Saccharomyces cerevisiae S288C: one gene and its partners. The main gene of each other region encodes a partner of the protein of the gene in region 2 in a complex. Each region holds a gene or a part of one and is shown on either strand. Other genes may lie near its edges. The genes, in order: RPN8, RPN3, SEM1 and RPN12. A codon is read from its position in the direction of its gene.

Region 1 (4,983 bases), on a different chromosome or scaffold from region 2:
AGGGCAGTAGAATCGCTTGTAGAAACGTTTTCATAGGCTGATAGAATTTCGTCAAACAATATTTCACTACCGCTTTTGCCATACTTATTTTTTCTACAGCAATCTTGTGTCTGTGTTTGCATTAGGGAGACCGGATTAATAGGAGTAAGGGCTTTTACAGGCATTACAATTGGGGCCGGGCGAGAGACAAACACTTTATCAATAATATGATCCGAATGTGTCTTATGCCCTAAAGATTGTACTACTGCAGGCTTTGACAGCGTCGGCCTACGTAAACTTTTTCTTTGAATTGGTAGTGATTTTACCTTCTTTCTTTCTCGTAATGGTAGAATCGTGCTTTGAGGACAAACTGGTCCCTTGGGAACTTGCATGTCAGTAAATTTTTTCTCTCTAATCACCTCAAGTTGGGAGCGTGGCCTCTTCTTGAAATCATGTAAGAACAATTCTGGAACAGACTCTAACCGTTTCTTCAGTTTCAGTGTACCCCCAAATCTTTTAGACAACCTGTTACCACCGTTGCTGGTACGTAAAACCTTATCATCTTCATCTTCAAAATCTTGTGGTATCGGTGGAATATACTTCAAGTCATCAGCTGTTAATGTTAGCGAAGATGGTCTGACTGCATCAACATTCTTTTCAATTTTATTGCCCAAAAACTTTCTTGGCATTACTAAGTTATTCTGTAGGATTTTTTTGCTATCCTGCCCTCACAATTATAAATGGTTCATTCATTTAATAAATCCTTTTGAATATGAAAACTTCATCAATATAGAGTAGCAAACCATTTTTACAACATTTTATATCACGATCTGCGCAAAAACCTTAGAATCCCCGCACAGCTGCCCAATGACAGATATAGGCAACGTTGTTGGTGCTAATCATTTTTAACTTGTTCTTTTTCCTCCTAGAAACCCATTGACAGTTTGCTGGTTATTTTTTTCTTCTTCCGCTTTTGCTGTCGCCGCGAATGAGTGAAGGCTGGTCAACCTGGTTAATTAGTAGCGCTGGCTTTCAGGGTACGAAAGCAATCATGTTCAGACATAGGGTTCTGTCCTTTGCAGCTGATTTGCAACTCGGCCAGCAATTCAAGAACATTTCGTAGTAAGCTGCTTTCAATTATATGCATATATACTCTGTATACAATTTTCAATTTTGAATTAAGTTCCACGGCTGAACGAGAAAAAGATACCTGAACACGCTACCTAACAAAATCCATTCCTTGTTTCTCTTCCCACTCCTTCAGCGCATTTTCCCACTCATCTTCTTCATTCACATCAACAGCTTTATTTTGCAATTCTTGTTCTTTTAACAACGCCGTACGTTTTTCTTCTTCTTCTTTATCATACTTCTCTTTATTGTCTATCCACCTGTCTTGAATGTCGTAATTCGCTATTAATGCACCTTCTCGCGAAGCCTCAGCCCACACGGTATCACCACCAACTTCGGATGCGCCGAATATGTAGCCATTTGCTTTATCTATAACACCTTGAAGATTTATCATACTTTCTTTGTCATCCACGGACAAAACCTCAAATGATACTAAGTTGAAATCTGAGACTAGCTCTTTGATTGTTTCAGTTAACTTGCTATATTTCTTTCCCAGTACACTAGAGCCTTCCTTTTCAATATATGGCTCCAAATAATCCAGATCCTGGACCTCTGTATAATAGTCTAATCTAAAGGGTAATTCTCCGTATGATTTCAGCATATCTATTTTAGAAAAAACGTTGATGTGAGGGAGATCCATCATTAACATAGACCTCAATGCAAGTAACAAAATCGAGATATATTGTGAAGGGGATGTCATGTAAAAACAGTCAATCAAATTTACAACACAAAACCTAATGTCCAATTCCTTTTCCATTTTTTTAAAGATGTTGAACAAAGATGAGTGATGAGTAAATAGCTCCACTTGGCCCGGACAGTCGAATACAAGATATGCTTTTTCTTCTTCTACAAGTGACTTGATCTGTAAAATGAACAAATCAATAGAATTATCCAATGATTCAACAGCATACATCAAACCTCCATTAGGGCCTAACTGTTGCTCTTGCATGATCTCCTCTAATGTTATAAAATCACGAATATCCACAGCGCATGGGTAAGGTAAGGCATCATTAGCAGGATCCATATTCACTACCTGGGAATGTCTTCCGATGGCATTGAAGAACTGTGAGCAGCCGTTGCAATAGGTTGACTTCCCTGAACCTGGTGGACCAATAACAATCTGAGCGAAGGGCATTATTGTACTCTCTAGTAGAAAATCAAAACTATTGACACAACAACAATCAAATGAAAACAAACCATTCTATTACGGTAAGTAGTGAAGACTCACAATGCAATCTTTCAATGAGCATCACTTACTTTAAGTAGCAATATTCCTAATCACTTATTACGAAATTTGATTTTACTAAAGTTCGGGGATACCTCAGTGGCAAATCGTTACTCAAGTTGCACGTAACGTAGAATCTACAATGAAATAATTGTGAAGCCAACAGCTAAGCAATCTATAGTGTAACGTTGGCTTTCTGTACAACTGCTACTGATTGAGGGCATTTTTCGAATTTAAAAAAAGAAAGAAAGAAAGGAAAATCAAATTACAATGTCTCTACAACACGAGAAAGTTACCATTGCACCACTAGTTTTGCTATCTGCTTTGGATCATTATGAGCGTACGCAGACAAAAGAAAACAAAAGATGCGTTGGTGTCATCTTAGGTGATGCTAACAGTTCCACTATCAGAGTCACTAATTCCTTTGCCTTACCGTTTGAAGAAGATGAGAAAAACTCTGACGTGTGGTTTTTAGACCATAATTATATTGAAAACATGAATGAAATGTGTAAAAAGATTAATGCCAAGGAAAAACTCATTGGATGGTATCATAGTGGTCCTAAATTAAGGGCTTCTGACCTCAAGATTAATGAGCTGTTTAAAAAATATACTCAGAATAATCCGCTATTATTAATTGTTGATGTCAAACAACAAGGTGTTGGTTTACCAACAGATGCATATGTCGCGATTGAGCAAGTTAAGGATGATGGTACGTCTACAGAAAAGACGTTTCTTCATTTGCCTTGTACTATTGAGGCCGAAGAAGCTGAAGAAATTGGTGTAGAACACTTATTGAGAGACGTACGTGATCAAGCAGCAGGTGGCTTATCTATCCGGTTGACCAACCAATTAAAATCTTTGAAAGGATTACAAAGCAAACTAAAAGACGTTGTCGAGTACTTAGACAAAGTCATTAATAAGGAATTACCGATAAACCACACTATATTGGGCAAGCTACAAGATGTTTTCAACCTTTTACCAAATCTGGGAACACCTGATGATGACGAAATAGATGTGGAGAATCATGACAGAATTAATATTTCAAATAACTTACAAAAGGCTTTAACTGTGAAAACTAATGATGAATTAATGGTTATATATATAAGCAATTTGGTTAGGTCAATTATCGCGTTTGATGATTTGATTGAAAACAAAATTCAAAATAAAAAAATTCAAGAACAAAGAGTAAAGGACAAACAATCAAAAGTCTCTGATGACAGTGAGAGTGAGAGTGGTGACAAAGAAGCAACTGCGCCATTGATCCAACGAAAGAACAAGAAAAATTAATTCAAAAATTAACATAACATAATATATGAAATAGATGTGTAAAACGCTATGTATTAATACAACATGTTAATTTGCTTAAGCATAATTATGTTCTGTTGAATTTCAAATATAAATGCATAATATCGCCTCTATTCTCGTCCACTTACTTACTTGGTCTCTATTAAAGAGACTGAAGGAATATACATAAGTTTATATTAACGCTCAAATAATCCGTCATCTTCGTACTCGTACTCGTCGGTATATTCACTATCATCAGAATCTTCATCGCTTCTATCATCACTGTCAGTTTCTTCGGCGATTTCACTTTCTCCAGCAATAACACTATCATCATATATTAACTCGTCCTCCTCATCTTCATCCAAATAAACGTTGGCCAGTGTTTCACCTTTAAAGTTATTTTTAGGCTCCACAACATAATGGCCTTCGATATAACAATTGCTGAGTTTACACTTTGAACCGATTTTTGCCATAGGTCCAATAATACAATTTTCCAGGATTACTTCGTCACCAAGATGGACTCCAGGAAATAAGAGAGACCCTGCAACACGACATCTGGAACCAATATTGGCCTGAGTACCGAGAACAGACATCTTGACATTACTATGAGCAGAGATTTGGCATTTGGGATCTACTATGGCATCAGCACCGATAGCGGCAGATTGAATCTGTATATTTTTCGTGAACATCGTTTGTGATTTTATCTTTAGTACAAATCTATTAGCGTCCATGTAAGCATTCAAGTTATTGGCTCTGATGAACAAGGTTTCGTTTGGTAAAATAAAAATACCTATTGGTTCCCTCGGTTTCGAATGTTGCCACGAACGACGAGATAAATCTCTAAAAACCTTACTCAATGATTTATTACAGTTTATTGGGTCCAAGATGAGATCATTCTTTTTTTTGAAGTAGGTAGGCTGGATAGATGTAGCCGAAGGTTTGTAATCATCGTCATCATCATGATTGCGATCTTCATCATCATCAGTAGTAGGAGGGTTTTGCTGTTGTTGGTTTCCAGTAAATGGATCTTTGAATGAAGCTTGTCTTGACATTGATTGAGGTCCTAATTTTAACAACTGGCAAAGTTCAAAGGAACAAAAGTAGATGAATGAGTTCAGTAACTTAGTGGATACTGTTAAATTTGGATAGTTCCATAATAAATGAGATCTGATCTGTAGATATTTTGTCTTTGTGACGTCCCTTTGAGAATAAACGTCCAAAAGTATTGGCTGCCTCTCTGAGTCTTCGTTTTCTGAATAAACAGTGAAAAATTGCTGTTGTTTTTGCTTTTGCTGTTGCTTTTTATCGATACTACTATCTAAAGAGTTCTTATAGTAGATAGTCATTGCTAGGTTATTATCATCCCT
Region 2 (4,306 bases):
CAAAAGGCTAAGGAAACGGGTAACCCGTGGTACCCGGGGCAGAATCAAACTTATAATTACTAAAGATATACCATATATTACGATCCCTGCGCCCGGCGTGCTCCACATTAAGTAAATGTCTGGAGTAAAATGAAGTCCGCCAATTCAGTCACAAAACATGACTACTGCCTCGTTCGCGATTTCTTCTTCCCTTACTTCATCATGTTCAAGCCCCCTCAGCTGCGCCCAAATGATTCTTCTTATCCTCTTGCATACTGCACCGAAAAAAAAAGTTAATAAGCAGCAGGATTTATAGGCGCGTGCGTGCAGCCTTAGACTGAAGGGGTGGAAAAACTTTAGGTAGGTTTGGTTCTCACTACCCAAAGAGCAATCGATAGGTATAAAAGTGAGCAATTGCTATCACAGCGAGCCTTATTGTTACAGCACAAATCACGCGTATTTTCAAGCAAATATCATGGGTCTCTGCGCATCTTCAGAAAAGAACGGCAGCACTCCTGACACGCAGACCGCCAGCGCTGGTAGTGACAACGTTGGCAAAGCGAAGGTACCACCAAAGCAGGAGCCACAGAAGACTGTGAGAACAGTCAACACAGCAAATCAACAAGAAAAGCAACAACAGAGGCAGCAGCAGCCGTCTCCGCATAATGTTAAGGACCGCAAGGAGCAAAACGGGAGCATTAATAACGCGATATCTCCCACGGCTACGGCAAATACAAGCGGATCGCAACAGATCAATATCGACTCTGCCCTGAGAGACAGGTCGAGTAACGTTGCAGCACAACCATCATTGTCGGACGCTTCAAGTGGCAGCAACGACAAAGAACTGAAAGTGCTACTGCTGGGTGCCGGTGAAAGTGGTAAGTCCACGGTATTGCAGCAGTTGAAGATTTTACACCAGAACGGGTTTAGCGAGCAGGAAATTAAAGAGTACATCCCCTTGATCTATCAGAATCTATTGGAAATTGGCAGGAACCTCATCCAGGCGAGAACAAGGTTTAACGTCAACTTGGAACCGGAGTGTGAACTGACGCAACAAGACCTGTCGAGAACCATGTCCTATGAAATGCCCAATAACTACACGGGCCAATTCCCGGAAGATATCGCGGGCGTAATATCTACGTTGTGGGCCTTGCCCTCAACACAAGATTTAGTCAATGGGCCTAACGCATCGAAGTTCTATCTAATGGACTCGACTCCTTACTTCATGGAAAATTTCACCAGGATCACTTCGCCCAATTACAGACCCACCCAGCAGGACATATTAAGATCGAGACAGATGACGTCAGGGATTTTTGACACCGTCATTGATATGGGGTCGGATATCAAGATGCATATTTACGACGTGGGTGGACAGCGTTCCGAAAGAAAAAAATGGATACACTGCTTCGACAATGTCACTCTGGTCATATTTTGCGTTTCTCTATCGGAGTACGACCAGACGCTGATGGAGGACAAGAACCAGAACAGGTTTCAGGAATCGCTGGTGCTTTTCGATAATATTGTCAACAGTAGATGGTTCGCGCGCACGTCTGTCGTACTCTTTCTGAATAAAATCGACCTTTTTGCTGAAAAACTAAGCAAAGTGCCTATGGAAAATTACTTCCCAGACTACACCGGCGGGTCAGACATCAACAAGGCTGCTAAGTACATACTCTGGAGGTTTGTTCAGTTAAACAGGGCGAATCTAAGCATATATCCTCACGTGACACAGGCCACAGACACGTCGAATATAAGATTAGTATTTGCCGCCATCAAAGAAACAATTTTGGAAAATACATTGAAAGACTCTGGAGTGTTACAATGAATGCACAGCTAAAACAGAGACAAAACTGCATGCCTCTTCTCCCCTTTATTATCACCTTTAAAAAAGATAAAAAAAGAAACTGGAAAAAAGGTAAAAAAAAAAAAAAAATTAAATAAATACGAATACGTTTTCTCATGACCATTGTACTAGTAATCACAACCATGATACTTGAATAACTTTTCTGTTTTGTGCTGTATTAAGCACAACCGTTATTTTTTAATTTATAGCGTTATACCACTATATTATTGTAGTCATTATAGTTATTATCCCGGGTAACAAAAATTTCATTCCAACGAGGTAATAGTTCCACTTTTCAGGCAGGAGGACGAAAAACATTTGCCACCCAAGAAAGAGACAAAGCAGTAGGTAAGGCATTCATCACACAATTTGAAAGGGGGTATAGTAAAAAAAATTCAATTGAGCAAATAGAATGGCTAGCACTGCAGTAATGATGGACGTGGATTCTTCCGGGGTCAATGACTTGCACCATTCTGAGAAGAAATATGCGGAAGAAGATCAGGTTCAGGAACTATTGAAAGTTTTGAATGAGATCTCCAAGACCACTTTAACGCTGGACCCAAGATATATATGGAGGAGTTTAAAGGACTTGAGCTCTTTAAGGAACCAGGAGCTTTTGAATGCGGAAACTTTATGTTTCACAGTGAATGTGCTGTACCCTGATTCTTCTTCATTCAAGAAGAATCTGCTGAAGTTCATTACTTCTAACCATAAATCGTCCGTACCGGGGTCAGCTGAGCTTAGAAACTCATATCCAGCCTCTTTTTATTCCGTAAACACTGAGAAAAAGACCATTGAAGTGACAGCTGAAATTAATTGCTTCATGCATCTACTAGTCCAGTTGTTTTTATGGGACAGTAAAGAATTAGAACAATTGGTAGAGTTTAATAGGAAGGTTGTTATCCCAAATTTATTGTGTTATTACAATTTGCGTTCCTTGAATTTAATCAACGCTAAGTTATGGTTCTACATCTACTTGAGTCATGAAACGTTAGCGCGCAGCTCCGAGGAGATTAACAGCGACAACCAAAATATAATCTTAAGGTCCACGATGATGAAGTTTTTGAAAATCGCTTCCCTGAAGCACGACAACGAAACCAAAGCCATGCTGATTAACTTGATCTTGAGAGATTTTTTGAATAATGGCGAGGTTGATAGCGCGTCTGATTTCATTTCTAAACTAGAATATCCTCACACAGACGTTTCCAGTTCATTGGAGGCAAGATATTTCTTCTATTTATCGAAAATTAACGCCATTCAACTGGATTATTCCACTGCGAACGAGTACATTATTGCAGCCATAAGAAAAGCCCCACATAATTCCAAGAGTTTAGGGTTCTTACAGCAATCAAACAAACTGCATTGTTGTATTCAATTACTCATGGGTGATATTCCAGAATTATCATTTTTCCATCAATCAAATATGCAGAAATCTCTCCTTCCTTATTACCATTTGACCAAAGCCGTTAAATTAGGTGACTTGAAAAAATTCACATCTACAATCACAAAGTATAAGCAGTTGCTATTGAAGGATGACACCTATCAACTCTGTGTTAGATTAAGATCTAATGTTATCAAGACAGGTATCAGGATCATCTCCTTAACGTATAAAAAAATTTCATTAAGAGATATTTGTTTGAAACTGAATTTGGATTCGGAGCAAACTGTAGAATACATGGTTTCAAGGGCTATTAGAGATGGTGTTATTGAAGCCAAGATTAATCACGAGGATGGCTTTATCGAAACCACAGAATTACTAAACATTTATGATAGTGAAGATCCTCAGCAAGTATTTGATGAAAGAATCAAATTTGCCAACCAATTACATGATGAATACCTTGTTTCAATGAGGTACCCTGAGGATAAAAAGACTCAACAAAATGAGAAAAGTGAAAATGGTGAAAATGATGATGATACGCTAGATGGTGATTTGATGGATGACATGTCTGATATCTCGGATCTCGACGATTTGGGATTCTTATAAGGGCGCATAAAAAATAAATAACTACCATTCATAACAGAAATTCATTCGTATATACATAAAGTTCTCATAAACGTATATATATATATATATATATACTTATTGATATCAAAGTGTGTTACTTTCTACATTCATAGACGGGGAAGAAAAGTGAGGAAAAGTTGTTTTCTCTTGTGCACTGCAGCCCTTTGAAAAAGTAGAACTGCAGAAAAAATAACTGAACGTAAAGCATTATTTACTTTTCAAAGGCAAAAGAGATAGAGCCAAAAAAATTGTAAGCAGCTTAAAAGCCATAATGACAACGGAAGATCCAGATTCAAATCACTTAAGTTCCGAAACTGGCATTAAATTGGCATTGGACCCGAACTTAATTACATTGGCACTAAGTTCTAATCCAAACTCTAGCCTTCATTCACCAACGTCTGATGAACCCGTACCTGAATCTGCAGGAAAAGCAGATACTAGTATTCGACTAGAAGGTGATGAGTTAGAGAATAAAACTA
Region 3 (3,898 bases), on a different chromosome or scaffold from region 2:
GTTGCACCTTAATTCAACGCCTGCAGATGTTGAATCTCGGCCCACTAACCCACATGAGTTCATTGTAGGTTTATCGAATTCGAAAATATTACATTATGATGATCGTGTTTCAGAAAATCAAGGTCTTGTGCAGACATATGATCATCACCTAAGTAGCATTCTGGCTCTCAAGTATTTTCCCGATGGTTCGAAGTTTATTTCTTCTTCAGAGGATAAGACGGTAAGAATTTGGGAAAATCAGATCAATGTACCAATAAAACAAATAAGTGACACGGCTCAACATTCTATGCCATTTTTAAATGTACATCCGTCTCAGAACTATTTCTGTGCACAAAGCATGGATAATAGAATATATTCTTTCAGTTTGAAACCCAAATATAAGAGGCATCCAAAAAAGATATTTAAAGGGCATTCATCTGCTGGTTATGGGATAAGCTTGGCTTTTTCTGGTGATGGTCGTTACATATGTTCAGGCGATTCAAAAAGCAGACTATTTACTTGGGATTGGAATACGTCGCGCTTATTAAATAACATCAAGATTCCAGGCAACAAGCCTATAACTCAAGTGGACTGGCATCCTCAAGAAACAAGTAAAGTCATTTGCAGCGGAGCGGCAGGTAAGATATATGTATGTGACTAGCTATTCACTCGGAATGTTACTTGAAACAAATTAAATGGTTACATGGATGTGATTTGTTACTTAATTGTTATTACGGATGATATTATTATGATAGTAAAAATGACAATAATAAAGAAACGATTGGGGTTACCTGAAATTGCAAGTACTAGTTCGAGGACACATTTGCATCATATGGTAGAAAGAGCGGATCTTAATATAGTTAATTTTTTAAACTGAGACTGCATTTAAAGAAATGAGAAATCTCAGCTGAGTTATTTAATACTTTGCGTGCATCATTATTATACTACAAGGCCATATAATCGACTACCGCATAGCCTTTCGTATCTCTTTTTATTATTTATTTTATCATCTAAGCAAAATATACTAGTATGACAACAATGTACTAAAGTAACATTAGACGTATAATTTCCTTTTGCGTTATTTAGAAATAATGTTATGTAGCCCCTCACTGATTTTCCCGTTTGTATCTATCCAATTCGGCCTTCAATTCATTGGTGAAATCGTCGTCAACTTCAACATCATCCCAGTTTTCTTCCCATATGTTTGTTTGCGTTACAGCATTGCTTTTTATTGTTTCACCATTGGCCCATGTGTCAATGGGGAAATCTTCAAATTCATCGTCTTCCTCTAGAGACTTCTTATTTATTTCCTCATTTTTTTTTTTTGTTAAATCTATTTTACTTTGGGCTTGTGCAGCAGCAACGTCCGTACTCATATTTTTGCGTATTTGTACTATTATTCGACTTTTATTGCCACTCTATTCACTTTATGCATAGGTAGGTTTCCATTAGGACTTTAAAAGGTAACGCCCACCACGTTCGCCACCCATAGCACTAGTTTCGTAAATAATGATAATATAATGGATCCGACAGAACTAAGAAGCTTTCAGCCCTTCAAAATCCCTACTAGTAGGTTACAAAGACATGAGGAAATGTTGATATAATTTTTATTGTTTTCTTTAGAAGGTTAGTTTTAAACACAAACCCGAAAAAAAATTTATAACATTTTGAATGTGTTATTAGCCCTGTAGGGGGCTCGAACCCCTAACCTTATGATTAAGAGTCATACGCGCTACCGATTGCGCCAACAAGGCTATTTATTTGTGACCTTTTAAAGGTTAAAAAGGGATAATACATATAATTTCTCAATATCAAGATGCATCATCATGTATTAAACTGAGAAATAAGTGAATTCTATGAATATTGAGATAGGGTTGGGATTGCATTGTTGGAAAACAATATTTGGTTATCAATTCTTGCTTTTCAACTTCTACTAAAAATGGTAACTGCTTGTCAATCTTTATGTCAACTTCTTAGGTTGTATATGATAGTTTACTAATAATATGAACGTTAGTCGGGTATATGATGGTTGATTCTTATTCCAACAATATCAAACACATCAGTAATTTTCAATCACTTTAAAATATATTGATATAAACCTTTTTTCCATATAAATGTATTCACATTTTTTGCATCCATGATCACTGTTGGTAAAGTACGCCCTATTTATAGAAATACGTAAATAAGGAGCAATCGATAAAGCATGTAGACCAATATAGTGTTGAGATATTTGTCGGATCCCATCTTGGTGTAAGTAATAGTACTATGTGTAACAATAGTGGGTGAAAGCCATTCTTGATGGTTTAGAGTTCAAAAAAGAAAATCAACAATTCTGCACAGTACCATATTTATTATTTTTCTTCGTTTTCACCTAATCACTCATTGATGCAGTTACACTACCAATTCTTGCCCTTCAAATCACCTTAAAGGATGATGGCTTGAATTTTATTTTCTGCTGATCTCGTAATTTATACAACCTTTTAGCGTTGATATCATAATATTATGATGAAACGAATTATTTTAATTGACTGCTGTAGCAACAATAGAGAAGTAGTTTACCTCTTGTTCCAAGAAAACTATAGCCGAGGAAATATCAAATTGTTTTGATAGTTGTTCTACGTTAGATGTACTATTCAAACCTAGCACGAAAAAGCTGAAGAGATTTTTGTATTCATTAGGCGATCAAATTTTTATAGAAAAGCGTTAACATGTTGAGTTAGAGATGGAAAAATTCCTTTATAATATTTCACGGAAGGTAGAAGAGGGTCAGCACCTACTTTTTGAACAGAGAATTACCCGAGTATGATTTAAACACAAAAGGTCTTATTCAATTATATTCAGAAAATATTTTACAAGTACCGCAAGCACCACCAACACACCCGCCGCCCATAGTAAATAATAATTGTGGCACGTAAAGAGCCGGAGTTCGGCCTTTTTTAGCAAATTGCGCTCAATCAATAATGACATCAACCATGTCTTCATCTTCCATATCCTGATCGGCTATACACTCATTCATGTCCAATTCATCATGATCAAAAAGTAATTTAACCCTCGTCTTTTGTGGTAACTGTTTCTGGATTCTGTAATATTCGGCAATTTTAGAAAATGGTGTTGAACGCCTAACATGGACATAGATTTTTTTGTTATCTTGACCCATGAGAGCGATTCTCATAACTTCTTCCATGCTACTACTATTTCCTGACAAAGAGCCACCCTCTTGCAGAAGTTTTGTATTCATAACTGTATCATTTTCTTTTATTTCTTGTGTTTCTTCTACGTTTTTTAATTCGGATTCAAACTCGCGATATTCGGACTCTTCTTGTTCATTTCTCTTTTTCTCTAACTTCCTTTCCATCTCCTGACGTTCTTTTATGAGTAAAGCAGCTTCTTCTTCCTTTAACTTTGATTCCAGTGTCGCTTCAAAGTTCTTTTCGTATTCTTTGGATACGATAGTAACATCGATATCAGAGACTTCATTTTCAAAATCCTGTGGGATATGTAGCGAATTACAAGTCATAAAAGTGAGTAATTTTGCATTGTTCCAATAAAGAGTAACATTCTCTACCTTGTATATATCTTTCATTACCTTCGGAATTTTATAGGACTTCATCAATCCGTCCAAAGCAGCAGGAAGTATTTTTGAAAATTCGTATTTTCCGAGGACCTTCACTTGGACCGCTTTATTTATAGTTCCTTCTAGCTTAGAGAGAAATTTGATGTTATAAACTCGCTTCCGCTGGTCGGGTGTCGATTCTTTAGAAATAGTGGTGCTTTTTTTGGCTTCTTTAGCAAGTTCCTTGAAAAAGTCATCGTTTTCATCATAGGTATACAGTAATGAACTTTTCTGTCGCTTGTATTTTCCCGCTGGAGATATTGATCTTATGCTTGACCTGGACCTTGACCTAGATCTGGGAAAATT
Region 4 (4,660 bases), on a different chromosome or scaffold from region 2:
AGTCGTGTTGGTCAAGTTGAGCGGTAACCATACCTTTGACACCACTCAATCCAAGTATAAACTACCACATGACATGAGAACCACTAAGCACCAAGAGGAGTTATGGTCCTTTATTGCCGACTCTTTGAAGGACTTTATGGTCGAGCAAGAATTGCTAAACACCAAGGACACCTTACCATTAGGTTTCACCTTCTCGTACCCAGCTTCCCAAAACAAGATTAACGAAGGTATTTTGCAAAGATGGACCAAGGGTTTCGATATTCCAAATGTCGAAGGCCACGATGTCGTCCCATTGCTACAAAACGAAATTTCCAAGAGAGAGTTGCCTATTGAAATTGTAGCATTGATTAATGATACTGTTGGTACTTTAATTGCCTCATACTACACTGACCCAGAGACTAAGATGGGTGTGATTTTCGGTACTGGTGTCAACGGTGCTTTCTATGATGTTGTTTCCGATATCGAAAAGTTGGAGGGCAAATTAGCAGACGATATTCCAAGTAACTCTCCAATGGCTATCAATTGTGAATATGGTTCCTTCGATAATGAACATTTGGTCTTGCCAAGAACCAAGTACGATGTTGCTGTCGACGAACAATCTCCAAGACCTGGTCAACAAGCTTTTGAAAAGATGACCTCCGGTTACTACTTGGGTGAATTGTTGCGTCTAGTGTTACTTGAATTAAACGAGAAGGGCTTGATGTTGAAGGATCAAGATCTAAGCAAGTTGAAACAACCATACATCATGGATACCTCCTACCCAGCAAGAATCGAGGATGATCCATTTGAAAACTTGGAAGATACTGATGACATCTTCCAAAAGGACTTTGGTGTCAAGACCACTCTGCCAGAACGTAAGTTGATTAGAAGACTTTGTGAATTGATCGGTACCAGAGCTGCTAGATTAGCTGTTTGTGGTATTGCCGCTATTTGCCAAAAGAGAGGTTACAAGACTGGTCACATTGCCGCTGACGGTTCTGTCTATAACAAATACCCAGGTTTCAAGGAAGCCGCCGCTAAGGGTTTGAGAGATATCTATGGATGGACTGGTGACGCAAGCAAAGATCCAATTACGATTGTTCCAGCTGAGGATGGTTCAGGTGCAGGTGCTGCTGTTATTGCTGCATTGTCCGAAAAAAGAATTGCCGAAGGTAAGTCTCTTGGTATCATTGGCGCTTAATGAAAAAAATGTAATGAAATATAAATGTGTTTTTCCCTCCCTTAATATTATTATTCTTATGAGTGATGCCCTTATGTTTTTTTTGCGGTCTAGTATATGTAAATATAGACACACACATATATATATATTTATGTGTATAATCCTAGCTAATAAACATTTTTAGATTGTTATTAGTATAATTTTTTCCACTTACTTTGTTCTCCGGGAGAGAAAAAGTTGTTTATTTTGTAGTAATTTTGTGCACATATTATATATACAAATATTACACAATATTTTCAATACTTATGGCATAATCCATTGCTTTTTCGATAATGTTTGTCTTTTGGTCTTCTTCATGCATCATTTCATCTTCGTAATCAGCTTTCTCCTTTGATTGGTTATTGAAGTAAACTTTCGAGTTGACAATAGGCCAGTTTCTCTCTAGTGCAAATTTTTCAGTTTCTTTTTCGTTGTTGAAAAAGAGCAAAGCCTTTATGTTGGAGAGAGGGAGAAAGTCGTAGGATAGCTCGGTATTTTTAGCAATTTCGTCTCTTATAGCTGATTTTAGGATATCGGTAAAAGAGTCGAATTCTGATATATTCTGCGACCCAGATTGCAGAAGATCCCATGCTTTCTGGTACGACCCTTCCATGAGCCATCTGTCTAGTTTGATAGGGTAAGACAAAAGTGAATCGTCTTCCAAGTTCTTGATATGTTTATCTAGATACTGCAATTCCGAGTGAAACTTGGTTGTGTTATTCTGAGACAATAAGTTCAACAAATACAGACTTATCAGCTTCGATTTCTTGTCAGATTCAGATAATTTATGATTGTTGCTAAAGTAGTAAGGCTTCAATTGGTTGAAGTAATTCTCGAAGCTGTCAAAATTGAAAGTTTGGATGCTAGCAAGGGCACCTACTTCCAGGATCCTTTTAGTAATCATCAAATCATTCAAATAGATGTCATTTTGAATGGATAAGTCAGGTATTAAAAGGTTATTCTTGATAAGTTCGATCTTGATAGGGGGCAAGAGCTTCTCACACGCGGCATAATCGCCGTTTTCAAAGGCTATGCTTAACGACTTGGTCAATTCGGCTAACGAGGGCATTACGATGGCTTCTTATCTCACTTCAATAGTACTTTCCACCGGTTATACTTCCGGCTTTTCCCTATTAATACAAGCTACAATTTCAATGGGTGGCAAATAATGTGTAGAATAGAAAATAAGCCGACAGGGTAATAAAGAAAATTTTTAGAAAAAAAAGGTTAGATGGCTTATTTAAGTTACAGGCTAGCGAAAAAAGGAACTTCAGGGCAAGTAAAGTGTTTGATTGGGCACTAGCATGGCTTATAAAGGCGAGCAATTGTCGAAACTAATTAATGTTGTACGGACTATTGCTGTCTTCTCGTGGTAAATGCGTGTTCCAGGTCGAATACTACTTGCACACAGGCGAGCGGGGCCCCATAAAAGTGTTGCCGATTTGTTAAGTTGTCTTTTCGGTTTTTCTACTCTGTTATTCCTTACTTCCCTTTTTAAGAACTCTTTTTATCCTTCATTTAGGATCTTGCACGTTTCCGCCTCATCACTTGAATTAAAACATGTCTCTGTCAGTAAACCTTGGCGTTTCTATTGTTCTTCATAGTTCAACTTTTATTATTACCCGCCCTGCGCGTTTACATTTTTCCAGCAACAGCCAGCGAAAAATTAGAAAATCTGGTTGTTGACACCTCAAGAACAAGGGCAATTAGCCTCAGCGTCGAATATAGATCATATTAGAATACCTATAGCTCCATCAAAAGAAATACACAATGGTGGTTTTGGCTGCTTCTATCACTACGCGTCAGGGGAAACCTCTCTTGTCCAGGCAATTCAAAGATCTGTCCAAGGATCGAGTCCTAGAGTTGCTGTCCAATTTCCAGAACCTAGTCTCCGAGATCTCGTCAGACCACACATTTGTCGAGGACAAGCACGTCCGCTACGTGTATAGGCCCTTTGATAACTACTACATTATTCTTATCACAAACCGCCAGTCCAATATTATCAAGGATTTGGCCACATTAAATCTGTTTTCACAGACGATCAACTCCTACTTGTCTAGTTTCCAAGACCAAGAGATTTTTCACAATGCCTTTGAGATCTTGTCCTCGTTCGACGAAATCGTGTCAATGGGCGGGTACAAAGAGAACTTGTCCTTTACTCAAGTGCAAACATACTTGTCTATGGAGTCGCACGAAGAAAGAATCCAGGAAATTATTGAGCGTAATAAAGAGATCGAAGCTACTGAGGAGAGGAAGCGCCGTGCTAAGGAAATTGCTAGAAAAGAACATGAAAGGAAACACGGGTTTATGTCTTCAAATGGCGATTACGACGGCGCCAATAGGTTCATGGGAAGTAAAGATCCTAACGTTACAAACGCCATCAACAGTTACTACTCCCATGCTTCTCCTGCAGCACAACAGTCTTATCTACAAAGTTCCCATGCCGCTGCTGCTGAGGTGGCCCCAGTGGCCTCCCCAATGGCTACGTCTCAGCGTGCGGGACATTCTGCTACTGGCGGTATGAAATTGGGTGGTGGTGCCGGAAGAAGAGCGGGTGCCGCACCACGGCCAAGTGCAATTTCTTCAGCCTCTTCTGGCACTCCACCTCCTCCGGAGGAGGATGTCCCAGAGAACAATGGTATTTTGATCTCTATCAAGGAGGTAATCAATGCAGAATTCTCCAGAGATGGTACCATTCACTCTTCTGAATTGAAAGGTGTTTTAGAACTAAGAATTAATGACCATGACTTATCTCACTCGAACCTAAAACTAGCTGATTCTATTGACGTTCGCGATAAATCCTTCCAGTTTAAGACCCATCCAAACATAGATAAACAATCGTTCCTATCCACTAAACTTATCTCCCTGCGTGATAAATCTAAGGCTTTCCCAGCCAACGACCAAAGCCTGGGTGTTCTAAGATGGCGTAAAGTCGCTCCCGCAGAAGATGACTCATTAATTCCATTAACTCTAACTACATGGGTTTCCCCCTCCGAATCACAACAGGGCTTTGATGTCATTATTGAGTATGAGAGCGTCCTGGAAACAGAACTCGCTGATGTGATCTTCACCATTCCAGTTTTCCCTCAGGAGCCAGTAGACATAAATACAGAGTCTTCTACATGCTCTGACGCTGAAGTTGTCAACATGGACCAAGAAATGGGAACCTCCATTAAGATTAGCAAAATTGCTGCCAACGATGCAGGTGCGCTAGCATTCACTATCGAAGCTCCATATGAAGATGCATTGTACCCAATGACCGTTTCCTTCCAAGAGTCCACGAGGGATAAATTAGCTAAGAGTTTCACCGGTATGGCCATACAATCTGTTGTCATGGCCAATGACCACGATCAAGAGCTCCCTTACGACGTCATCACCTCTTTGAAATCAGATGAATATCTTGTCCAATAGTACGTTACATTCACATATAAAATACTTAAGTTATATACACAAACTAAATAA

The links.
Region 1: the proteins of RPN3 (region 2) and RPN8 are in contact, whole or in part, in a cryo-EM structure (PDB 5MPE), measured with the Saccharomyces cerevisiae proteins. Residues at the interface, in NP_010938.1 of Saccharomyces cerevisiae: Tyr452 (codon at 3,588), Asp453 (codon at 3,591), Ser454 (codon at 3,594), Glu455 (codon at 3,597), Gln458 (codon at 3,606), Phe461 (codon at 3,615), Arg464 (codon at 3,624), Ile465 (codon at 3,627), Ala468 (codon at 3,636), Asn469 (codon at 3,639), His472 (codon at 3,648), Tyr475 (codon at 3,657), Ser478 (codon at 3,666), Met479 (codon at 3,669), Arg480 (codon at 3,672), Pro482 (codon at 3,678), Glu483 (codon at 3,681), Lys486 (codon at 3,690), Thr487 (codon at 3,693), Asn490 (codon at 3,702), Glu491 (codon at 3,705), Lys492 (codon at 3,708); in NP_014904.3 of Saccharomyces cerevisiae: Val249 (codon at 3,347), Asn251 (codon at 3,353), His252 (codon at 3,356), Asp253 (codon at 3,359), Ile255 (codon at 3,365), Asn256 (codon at 3,368), Asn259 (codon at 3,377), Gln262 (codon at 3,386), Lys263 (codon at 3,389), Leu265 (codon at 3,395), Thr266 (codon at 3,398), Thr269 (codon at 3,407), Asn270 (codon at 3,410), Glu272 (codon at 3,416), Leu273 (codon at 3,419), Ile276 (codon at 3,428), Tyr277 (codon at 3,431), Asn280 (codon at 3,440), Arg283 (codon at 3,449), Ser284 (codon at 3,452), Ile286 (codon at 3,458), Ala287 (codon at 3,461), Asp289 (codon at 3,467), Asp290 (codon at 3,470), Glu293 (codon at 3,479).
Region 3: the proteins of RPN3 (region 2) and SEM1 are in contact, whole or in part, in a cryo-EM structure (PDB 6FVW), measured with the Saccharomyces cerevisiae proteins. Residues at the interface, in NP_010938.1 of Saccharomyces cerevisiae: Arg51 (codon at 2,385), Tyr52 (codon at 2,388), Arg55 (codon at 2,397), Ser56 (codon at 2,400), Lys58 (codon at 2,406), Asp59 (codon at 2,409), Lys182 (codon at 2,778), Phe185 (codon at 2,787), Tyr186 (codon at 2,790), Leu189 (codon at 2,799), Glu192 (codon at 2,808), Thr193 (codon at 2,811), Arg196 (codon at 2,820), Asn235 (codon at 2,937), Leu236 (codon at 2,940), Arg239 (codon at 2,949), Asn243 (codon at 2,961), Ser265 (codon at 3,027), Ser266 (codon at 3,030), Ser267 (codon at 3,033), Ala270 (codon at 3,042), Arg271 (codon at 3,045), Phe274 (codon at 3,054), Tyr275 (codon at 3,057), Ile297 (codon at 3,123), Arg298 (codon at 3,126), Lys299 (codon at 3,129), Ala300 (codon at 3,132), Pro301 (codon at 3,135), His302 (codon at 3,138); in NP_010651.3 of Saccharomyces cerevisiae: Met1 (codon at 1,355), Ser2 (codon at 1,352), Thr3 (codon at 1,349), Asp4 (codon at 1,346), Val5 (codon at 1,343), Ala6 (codon at 1,340), Gln9 (codon at 1,331), Ala10 (codon at 1,328), Lys13 (codon at 1,319), Asp15 (codon at 1,313), Thr17 (codon at 1,307), Lys18 (codon at 1,304), Lys19 (codon at 1,301), Lys20 (codon at 1,298), Asn21 (codon at 1,295), Glu22 (codon at 1,292), Glu23 (codon at 1,289), Ile24 (codon at 1,286), Asn25 (codon at 1,283), Lys26 (codon at 1,280), Lys27 (codon at 1,277), Ser28 (codon at 1,274), Leu29 (codon at 1,271), Glu30 (codon at 1,268), Glu31 (codon at 1,265), Asp32 (codon at 1,262), Asp33 (codon at 1,259), Glu34 (codon at 1,256), Phe35 (codon at 1,253), Asp37 (codon at 1,247).
Region 4: the proteins of RPN3 (region 2) and RPN12 are in contact, whole or in part, in a cryo-EM structure (PDB 3JCP), measured with the Saccharomyces cerevisiae proteins. Residues at the interface, in NP_010938.1 of Saccharomyces cerevisiae: Ser198 (codon at 2,826), Glu199 (codon at 2,829), Glu200 (codon at 2,832), Ile201 (codon at 2,835), Asn202 (codon at 2,838), Ser203 (codon at 2,841), Asp204 (codon at 2,844), Asn205 (codon at 2,847), Ile208 (codon at 2,856), Asn244 (codon at 2,964), Gly245 (codon at 2,967), Glu246 (codon at 2,970), Asp248 (codon at 2,976), Ile282 (codon at 3,078), Gln283 (codon at 3,081), Leu284 (codon at 3,084), Lys368 (codon at 3,336), Asp375 (codon at 3,357), Tyr377 (codon at 3,363), Val381 (codon at 3,375), Arg382 (codon at 3,378), Ser385 (codon at 3,387), Asn386 (codon at 3,390), Lys389 (codon at 3,399), Thr418 (codon at 3,486), Glu420 (codon at 3,492), Tyr421 (codon at 3,495), Met422 (codon at 3,498), Val423 (codon at 3,501), Ser424 (codon at 3,504); in NP_116710.1 of Saccharomyces cerevisiae: Asp43 (codon at 2,141), Leu44 (codon at 2,138), Ser45 (codon at 2,135), Ile46 (codon at 2,132), Ser91 (codon at 1,997), Asn92 (codon at 1,994), Asn93 (codon at 1,991), Leu96 (codon at 1,982), Thr119 (codon at 1,913), Thr120 (codon at 1,910), Lys121 (codon at 1,907), His123 (codon at 1,901), Ser124 (codon at 1,898), Glu125 (codon at 1,895), Gln127 (codon at 1,889), Tyr128 (codon at 1,886), Leu129 (codon at 1,883), Asp130 (codon at 1,880), His132 (codon at 1,874), Ile133 (codon at 1,871), Glu137 (codon at 1,859), Arg150 (codon at 1,820), Leu152 (codon at 1,814), Met153 (codon at 1,811), Glu154 (codon at 1,808), Gly155 (codon at 1,805), Ser156 (codon at 1,802), Tyr157 (codon at 1,799), Gln158 (codon at 1,796), Glu188 (codon at 1,706).

Annotation. Positions count from the first base shown.
Region 1 is NC_001147.6:814,551-819,533, reverse strand, and holds RPN8 (proteasome regulatory particle lid subunit RPN8), read left to right. Parts: upstream 1-2,602; coding exon 2,603-3,619; downstream 3,620-4,983. Other genes in the region: DSE3 (Dse3p), read right to left, coding at 1-668; GTPase GPN2, read right to left, coding at 1,199-2,242; GCD1 (translation initiation factor eIF2B subunit gamma), read right to left, coding at 3,814-4,983. UniProt on the Saccharomyces cerevisiae protein: Acts as a regulatory subunit of the 26S proteasome which is involved in the ATP-dependent degradation of ubiquitinated proteins.
Region 2 is NC_001137.3:194,714-199,019, forward strand, and holds RPN3 (proteasome regulatory particle lid subunit RPN3), read left to right. Parts: upstream 1-2,234; coding exon 2,235-3,806; downstream 3,807-4,306. Other genes in the region: GPA2 (guanine nucleotide-binding protein subunit alpha), read left to right, coding at 455-1,804; SRB4 (Srb4p), read left to right, coding at 4,099-4,306. UniProt on the Saccharomyces cerevisiae protein: Acts as a regulatory subunit of the 26S proteasome which is involved in the ATP-dependent degradation of ubiquitinated proteins.
Region 3 is NC_001136.10:1,199,585-1,203,482, reverse strand, and holds SEM1 (proteasome regulatory particle lid subunit SEM1), read right to left. Parts: upstream 1,356-3,898; coding exon 1,086-1,355; downstream 1-1,085. Other genes in the region: CDC40 (Cdc40p), read left to right, coding at 1-640; ESC2 (Esc2p), read right to left, coding at 2,930-3,898. UniProt on the Saccharomyces cerevisiae protein: Versatile protein that might stabilize multiple protein complexes involved in diverse pathways. Subunit of the 26S proteasome which plays a role in ubiquitin-dependent proteolysis.
Region 4 is NC_001138.5:250,112-254,771, reverse strand, and holds RPN12 (proteasome regulatory particle lid subunit RPN12), read right to left. Parts: upstream 2,268-4,660; coding exon 1,443-2,267; downstream 1-1,442. Other genes in the region: HXK1 (hexokinase 1), read left to right, coding at 1-1,180; RET2 (coatomer subunit delta), read left to right, coding at 2,969-4,609. UniProt on the Saccharomyces cerevisiae protein: Acts as a regulatory subunit of the 26S proteasome which is involved in the ATP-dependent degradation of ubiquitinated proteins. Necessary for activation of the CDC28 kinase.